Oryctolagus cuniculus: one gene and its partner. The protein of the gene in region 2 purifies or fractionates together with the protein of the main gene of each other region. This does not show direct contact. Links are inferred from orthologs where the notes say so. Each region holds a gene or a part of one and is shown on either strand. Other genes may lie near its edges.

Region 1 (3,649 bases), on a different chromosome or scaffold from region 2:
AGGCTCACTAGCATCACAAGGGTGCTGCCCTTCACGCGGCATGCCTAACACCTGATCAGCGGTGCTGAATCAGTCTGCTCAGGGAGATCAGCCTGCAGCAACACCCAGAAACCAGTCACCAGCAAAGCTGATGTGATATCACGTAAAACAAAGGCTTTGGCTCGGTTTTCCAACTCTGGAAAAATTGATACAAATGCTGGCACTAGTTTTCCTTCTGGGTTTCTCTAAGTTTTCCAGCACAAAAAGGAACAGCATAGATGCTCTTTACACATAAGTTTTTACACATAACCAACCTATCCTTACCTGCTACCATCAAACTCAAGAGAATATAGTAACAACGATCCCTTTGTTTTAAAGAAACACTAACACCACATATTCAGCTCATGACTTAAAAGTACTGCATTTGAGGCAAAAGGGAAAAACTTCTGAGGCCGGTGTTACAGGGAAGTGGGTCAAGCTGCTGCTTGGGAAGTTAATATCCCACATCATAGTGCCAATTCAAATCCTAGCTGCTCTACTTCCAATCCAGCTTCTTGCTAATGTGCCTGGGAACACTGCAGTGAATGACGGCCCAAGTGCTTGGGTCCCTGCTACACATGTGGCAGATGGAGTTTCTGGCTGTTGGCTTTGACCTGGCTCAGACCTAGCTGTTACAGTCATTTGGGAAGCGAACCAGTGGACAGATGTTATCTGTCTTTCAAACAAACTTAAAACACTCCTTAAAAATAAAAAAGTCGTGGGGGGAGGAGTTCTTTTCCTTACTAACAACAAAGAACAGGTAAACACAGAATATCAATATTTAACTAGGTGAATGCTAATTTATCAAGAAGGTTGCTAATGCTAAATTGTAATATATCTGTTTCCTATTCCTTTCAAATCTAAGAAATCTGTGATTCCAAATGCCAGTAAGGAGATGTAGAACATAATTCTAAATCCATAATCTTTCAAAGTAATGAAAAGTCATATGCTAAAAATTTTTAAAAATAAGAATGACTAACTTCACAAGATTCTGAAATGCAAAACCATCTGTCCATTGTTCAGTAAATGAGGCGCCATGTCTAACTGTGGTAAAGTGTCCAAGGCGTAATCTATCTTGCATACTCTTCTCTCTGCTTGACAGTTTTTCTTGTGTACTCTGAAAAAAGACAAAATCATAACTCAGATTTATTCATTTACATTTTAAAAGCATACAAGGCATAAGTGGCTGTGAAAGAAAATTTACTGAACTTTTAACCTACCTTTTCAATAAGAAGTTTCTTGCTCATTGATATACACTTATTTAATCGTTCTTTGTATTTTTCAAGTAATTTTTGTTGTTCATCTATTTGCCGTCTGAGATCACAGTTAGCCTACAACATAAGTAGAAAACACTAGAATTTAAATATATGAAAAACTTAGGAATATCTTTAATATTCTGAATACATTAAATAGGGATAGGATTAAACATCTGAGTATGATACTAAACAACAACAAAAAAAGCCTACTTACCATGCTATAATGCTACTTAACAGTATAACAGAAAGTATGTGGACTCTGTAACCATAATCCACACTCTAAGACAGGGCTGGAGAAGGCCCAGCGAAATCATTTGGTCTGGCCTGGCCAAGGCAACTACAGACAAGTATTGAAATTTAATACATCTATACAGCAGGCTAATTTTAAAGCTGATAATTCTGTATGGCCCGCAAATGATGTTATAAATATCTAAATGGCTCTTGGCAGGAAAAAGGTTGCCCACCCTTGCTAAGGTATACAAGGTTGGCTAGGTTAAGTAAATTAACCTGGACCTAAGTTTGGTTTTTAAATTTCTAAATGGTGTTTACTTTTTGTTTTTCTTTTTTATTTATTTGAGAGGTAGAGTTACAGACAGTGAGAGGGAGAGACAGAGAGAAAGGTCTTCTGTTGGTTCACGCCCCAAATGGCTGCAACAGCCGGAGCTGCGCCTATCCGAAGCCAGGAGCCAGGAGCTTCCTCCTGGTCTCCCATGAGGGTGCAGGGGTCCAAGTGCTCGGGCCATCTTGCACCGCTTTCCCAGGCCACAGCAGAGAGCTGGATTGGAAGAGGAGCAGTTGGGACTAGAACCGGTGCCCATATAGGATGCCAACGCTGCAGGCGGAGGATTAACCTACTGTGCCATGGTGCTGGCCCCTCTAAATGGTGTTAATACCACCTAGCTCATACTTCATTAAAAAGAACTAAAATGGCATACAATGTGTCTAACACTAAAAATAAATGTGAGTTTTATATCTCTTGTAACTAAAAAGACATTTTCTCCATTAAACTTGTGGATGACACCGTAAGATGCCTATCCAGGTCTGGGCCAGACTGAAGTCAAGAGCCAGGAACTCCATTCAGGTTTCCCAAGTGTGTGGCAAGAACCCAAGAACTTGGGCCATTATCCACTGCCTTCCAGGTATTTTAGTAGGAAGCTGGATTGCAAGTAGAGCAGTCAGTACTCTAACCGCACCCCAATATGCATGCAGGCATTTGCTAGTAGTGGTAGCTTAACCCACTGCATATGCACACTGCTGAAATACTTCCATTTTGAAGTTGGTACTTCCAATCATGTACTTATACTACCAGAAAAAGTTAAATTTTTTTATCTATCAATTTTTTTTACAATGCTATGTATTTTTAAGATTGCTGTCAAATAATTTACTCTCAACTTTTCTCCTCTACTTCTTTTAAGTTAATTAATTAATTTAATTGACAGACAAGGAGAAAGCTGACAGACACAGAGAGACCTCTGGGTCATTCCCAAATGCTTACAACAGCCAGAGCTGAGCCAGACATAAAGCAGGAGCCAGATCCACATGGGTAGAAGGCCCCAAGCACTTCAAGTCATTGCCTGATGACTCCCAGGGCGCTCATTAGCAGAAAGCTGGAATTGAATGTGGAGCCGGGGCTAGAACCCATCACTTGGATATAGGATATGGGTATTCCAAGGGGCATCTTAATCATCATGCAAACGCCTGCCCCACAACTTCTTACTTACCCTGAGCAAATCATCTATACGACCTTCCTTCTTTTCCAGGTCCTGGTTTTTATTACTTTCTAATGCTGCTAATTTCAGCATTGTGAGATCAGTCTAGATGAAATAAAGTTATTTTATTATCTCCATTATAAATACCTTTGCATGCAAATATAAAACTAGGTTTTACCTGACAAAGAAATATACGTGTATTTGTGTTGTGATGCAAAAGACATCCCAAAATGTCTTAGTACAGTTTTAAGTTTATAGTGAAGTTATAAGCGCTTAAAACAACTTCACTATAAATACAAATTTACAATATTTAAGCTATTATTTAGAAAACTGATATTCATTAAAATTGAATATATCCACTGCTTTATGCTATACATCACTCCAGTTAATTCTTAAACTTGCTAAAACTTTTATAAAAAATTTTTAATTGAAAGGTAAATACTGTATGTATTTGTGATATATAGCATTCTGCTTGGAAATCACTCCACATATGTGGAATGGCTCAATCAGGAAATTTCTTAGAAAATTTCATATACATAGTAAATTATTATTAATTTTAATCATCAAAATGTGCAAAGACCCCCTTAAATTTATTCCTCCTGTCTTAATGAAGTATTATATACTTTGACCAACACCTCATGAAGCAAAACCATTCATGAGCTGCTC
Region 2 (3,749 bases):
GCTCCTGGCTTTGGCCTGGCTCAACCTTGGCCGTGTGGTCATCTGGGGAGTGAACCAGCAGATGGAAGATCTCTCTGTAGCTCTGCCTTTCAAATAAAATAAGTTCTTAAAAAAATACCTACCAAATACAGGACATAACTGTATACACACAGTCTATCTAACTTCTGAACACGATTAAAGGCACGTCAATTACATTTTGTTCTGATCCCCAATTTTACAGGCTGAACCCCGCACAGGATACACCTCTACTCCGTATGACAACAAATGCAAAGCCAATGCTATGATTAAACACACGTTAAGAAAGTGATGGCCGGTGCTGTGGCACAGTGGGTTAAAGCCCGGGTCTGCAGTGCCGGCATCCCATATGGGTGCAAGTTCGAGTCCCGGCTGTTCCACTTCCGATCCAGCTCTATGCTATGGCCTGGGAAAGCAGTGGAAGATGGCCCAAGTGCTTGGGCCCCGGCACCTGAGTGGGAGACCTGGATGGAGCTCCTGGCTCCTGGCTTTGGATCTGTGAAGCTCCAGCCGTTGCAGCCATCTGGGGAGTGAACCAATGGACAGAAGACCTATCTCTCTCTCTGTAACTCTACTTTTCAAATAAATAATGAAACAAATATTTAAACAAGAAATCATTGTCGTTGAAGAATCTGTTTCCCATTTGTATTTATCTGGGAGTGACAGAGGAGAGAGACAAAGGCAGGCGATGGGGGGGTGGGGGGCAGAAAGAGCAGGATCTTCTACCCGCTGGTCCACTCCCCAAATGCCAACAGCTGGAGGTGGGCCAGGCCACAGCCAGGCGCCTGGAACTCCCCGTGGGTCTCCCGCGTGGGCGGCAGGGGCGCACAACAGCGCGCAGCAGCAGGAAGCTGGGTCGGAAGCTGCGCGTCCAGGACTCCAGCCGAAGCGGCGCTGCGATCCGGTGACCAGGCGGTCCGGAGCCGCAGTCTTCGAGCCGTACTGCCCGTGGCCTTGGCCTCGCGGGGCGCCTGCTGTTTCAGCTCCCTGAGGGGCTCCCCCGCTCCCCGCAAGCACACGCACCCCTGATGTACTCCGTGCGGCCCCTGGGAGTCAGGGGGCCCCCGACTGGGGGCTGGGAGAGGAAGAAGGAACTCAGAGGCGCCCCACACCAGGGTTGCCCAGGCTCCTGTCCCCAGACATCACGGCCCCAGCGACGCCCCGCCCCCCGCCCGGGACGCGCAGGGGGTCAAGGCGGGGGCTTGGCTCCTGGGCCGCAGGGCCCGGGGCGTCGCAGGCACCCACTTCTCAGATAGCGCCTGCTTTTAAAGCAGGCCTACGGCACCCCACCCGCGTCACCTGGGAACTCAGACGAGGGGCCCCTCGCCTCTCCTGCCGGCCTTTAAAGCGAGTCTCAACCCCCGCCAGCTTACACTTTTATTTCCGCCCTGCGTGTCCCAGAGAGCCTCCAGCCGGCTTACTCCACAGTCAGCCACAGGCGGCGGCCGCCCCGCGGGCCACCCCCCTGCCACCCAGCGGCCTCCCCGGCTCCGCCCTGGAGCTGAGCGCTGGGTGCACGCAGGCCTTGGCCCCGGCTGACCCCGGCGTGCGCAGGGCCCGGGGCTCCGGGTGGCTGCTGTGCCCTCCCGTGCGCCACGACCACCACCCCGCCGCGGGCCCCGGGCGCGCCCACCGCCCACCGGACGGCGTCGGGATAGGGAAGCCGCGGGAAGCCGGTCCGGGGCGCGCCCACCGCCCACCCAGGCCCACGGTCGGACCGGGAAGCCTCGGGAGCCGGGACGCCCCTCCACCGCCACCCCGGGGGTCGCAATGACCCCCGGACGCGGTCATTTAAACACTGGGCAGGGCACGGCTGGGGCGGACACGGGGGCGAGGAGGGCGGCAGGGGTGGGGAAGAGGCAGGGGGCGTGGGGGTCTCCGCCGGTGGATGCGCCTCTATCATTAGGAAGCGGTGCCTGGGAGGAGCGCCATTGCAAGAGAGGGGGGTCCTGGGGTTTGGGAGGGGGCGATGGGGGAGCGGGGGGGGCTAAGCGGACGGAGGGAGGGGGCCCCGGGGGGCTTCGGCCTGGCCACGGGGCGGCTCTCCACGGGGAGGTCGGGGTCAGGGTCGGCCCAGGGCTGGGGTGGGGGTCTCCGCACGGGTCCAGCCTCACCGTCCGCCAGGGCCTCACTGCACTCGAAGCTGATCTCGAACCGGAAGGGGCTGTGGAAAGGGCTCGGGTTCTCCAGCACCGACACGTTCAGCACGGACACCTTGGCCATCGTGTCGCCGGGAGCCGGGGTCGGGGGAGCGGGCAGAGGGGCAGCGTCACCGGCGGCCGCTCCCGCCTCCTCTCGCCGCGGACTGCAACGCGCACCGCGTCCGCGCGCCGCCTTCAAATCGCCGGCTCCGCCCTCTAGCCAATCACCGCAAACGCTCCGCGGCGGCGCGAGCGCCCCGTCAGCCAATCCGCGAGCGCCGCTGGCGCGCGCCCGGACTCCTCAAACCAATCCGCGGAGCTCCCTCTCCGCACGCGCGCGAGGGAGGCGGGACCAGCTGTGGGCTTCTCGCGGGGTGGCCGCGGGGAACCAATCCCCAGCGTCTCCGACTCGGATGGCGGGGGCGGGGATGGGCGGAGTCAGAGCCCGGCTCTCGGCCAATCCTGAGGGTTCCCGCACAGGCGGGGCCCGCCCCTTCTCGCAGCTTTTCCGAGAGACGCATCCTTGAGGGAGCAGCACCGCCAACGGCCGAGCGGTGGCGCGCGGCGCTCGCTTAAGAGCGTGGGAAGGGCGGGTACTCGCGGCCGCCGTGATTGGCAGGCAGGAGTGGGGCGGGGATAAAGCAGGCTTTTGGAGACCTAATTGGCTGAGGTGGCTGTGGGGGCGGGAGCAGAGGAAGGCGTGTCTGAGGATTCGCGGGAGAGGAGCGGAAGTCGGGGGCCGGCGCGGTGGAGGAGGCGCGGCGGGGATGCCGGTGCGTGTGTGCAGGTGGGCGTTTCGGGCCGGGGGCTCCGGCTGCTGAGGCCGTGCGCGGCCTGGGGGGTCTGCGGTGAGCGGACGCGGAGTCCCGGCCTGGGGAGTGGCGGTTCGGGTCCCGCTCCCGCCCAGTCAGGGACCGGACGGCTGCGGGGCCAGGGCCTAGGCGATCGTATTTCCAAATGTGTTATGGTGCATCCGAATTCCACCCCGAGCAGAGTTCTTAGCACGATGTTTTCTAGGCGTTTAACTAAACATTTATTTATTCTCACCTTGGTGAATTTTTTTTTTTTTTTTTTTTTTTTGCGCCGTCCGTTCCCGACCCCGGGGAAGGCCGTACCGGGGACTCCGTCTCCGATGCTGGGAGGAAGAGGAGCTGGCTGCGTGATTGTCGCTGAACCCCAGATCCCAGCGCCAAGCCCCAGAGGCGTATCCTGCTTAGCGGGGAACCGAGATCTCTGCAGTGGGCCCCGAGGCCCCGTCTCGCGCCTGTCACCCTCCCCGCCCTGCCCCTGCCCACCCCCGGGCTCCCTCCTGCTGCAGGGCCTTGTGCTCCCTCTGGGGCCGGCGCTGTGGCGCAGTGGGTAAAGCCGCCACCTGAAACACTGGCATCCTATATGGGCGCCGGTTCGAGTCCCGGCTGCCCCACTTCCCATCCAGCTCCCTGCTGTGGCCTGGGAAAGCAGGAGAAGATGGCCCAGGTGCTTGGGCCCCTGCACCCGCGTGGGAGACCCAGAGGAAGCTCCCAGCTCCCAACTTCCAGGCGTTGCAGCCATTTGGGGAGTGAACCAGCGGATGGAAGACCTCTCTCTCTCTGT

The links. The genes of interacting proteins can lie anywhere in the genome.
Region 1: the proteins of ASF1B (region 2) and TLK1 purify together in Homo sapiens (co-immunoprecipitation; 3 studies listed by BioGRID and IntAct, counting the BioPlex papers as one, with this or other methods). This does not show direct contact. The link is inferred for Oryctolagus cuniculus from reciprocal best matches to the Homo sapiens genes ASF1B and TLK1.

What each region holds. Positions count from the first base shown.
Region 1 is NC_091434.1:70,090,707-70,094,355, reverse strand, and holds part of TLK1 (serine/threonine-protein kinase tousled-like 1), read right to left. Parts: intron 3,089-3,649; coding exon 2,996-3,088; intron 1,350-2,995; coding exon 1,239-1,349; intron 1,136-1,238; coding exon 999-1,135; intron 1-998. UniProt on the Homo sapiens protein: Rapidly and transiently inhibited by phosphorylation following the generation of DNA double-stranded breaks during S-phase. This is cell cycle checkpoint and ATM-pathway dependent and appears to regulate processes involved in chromatin assembly.
Region 2 is NC_091447.1:62,994,609-62,998,357, forward strand, and holds the start of ASF1B (histone chaperone ASF1B), read right to left. Parts: upstream 2,352-3,749; 5' UTR 2,239-2,351; coding exon 2,130-2,238; intron 1-2,129. UniProt on the Homo sapiens protein: Histone chaperone that facilitates histone deposition and histone exchange and removal during nucleosome assembly and disassembly. Cooperates with chromatin assembly factor 1 (CAF-1) to promote replication-dependent chromatin assembly.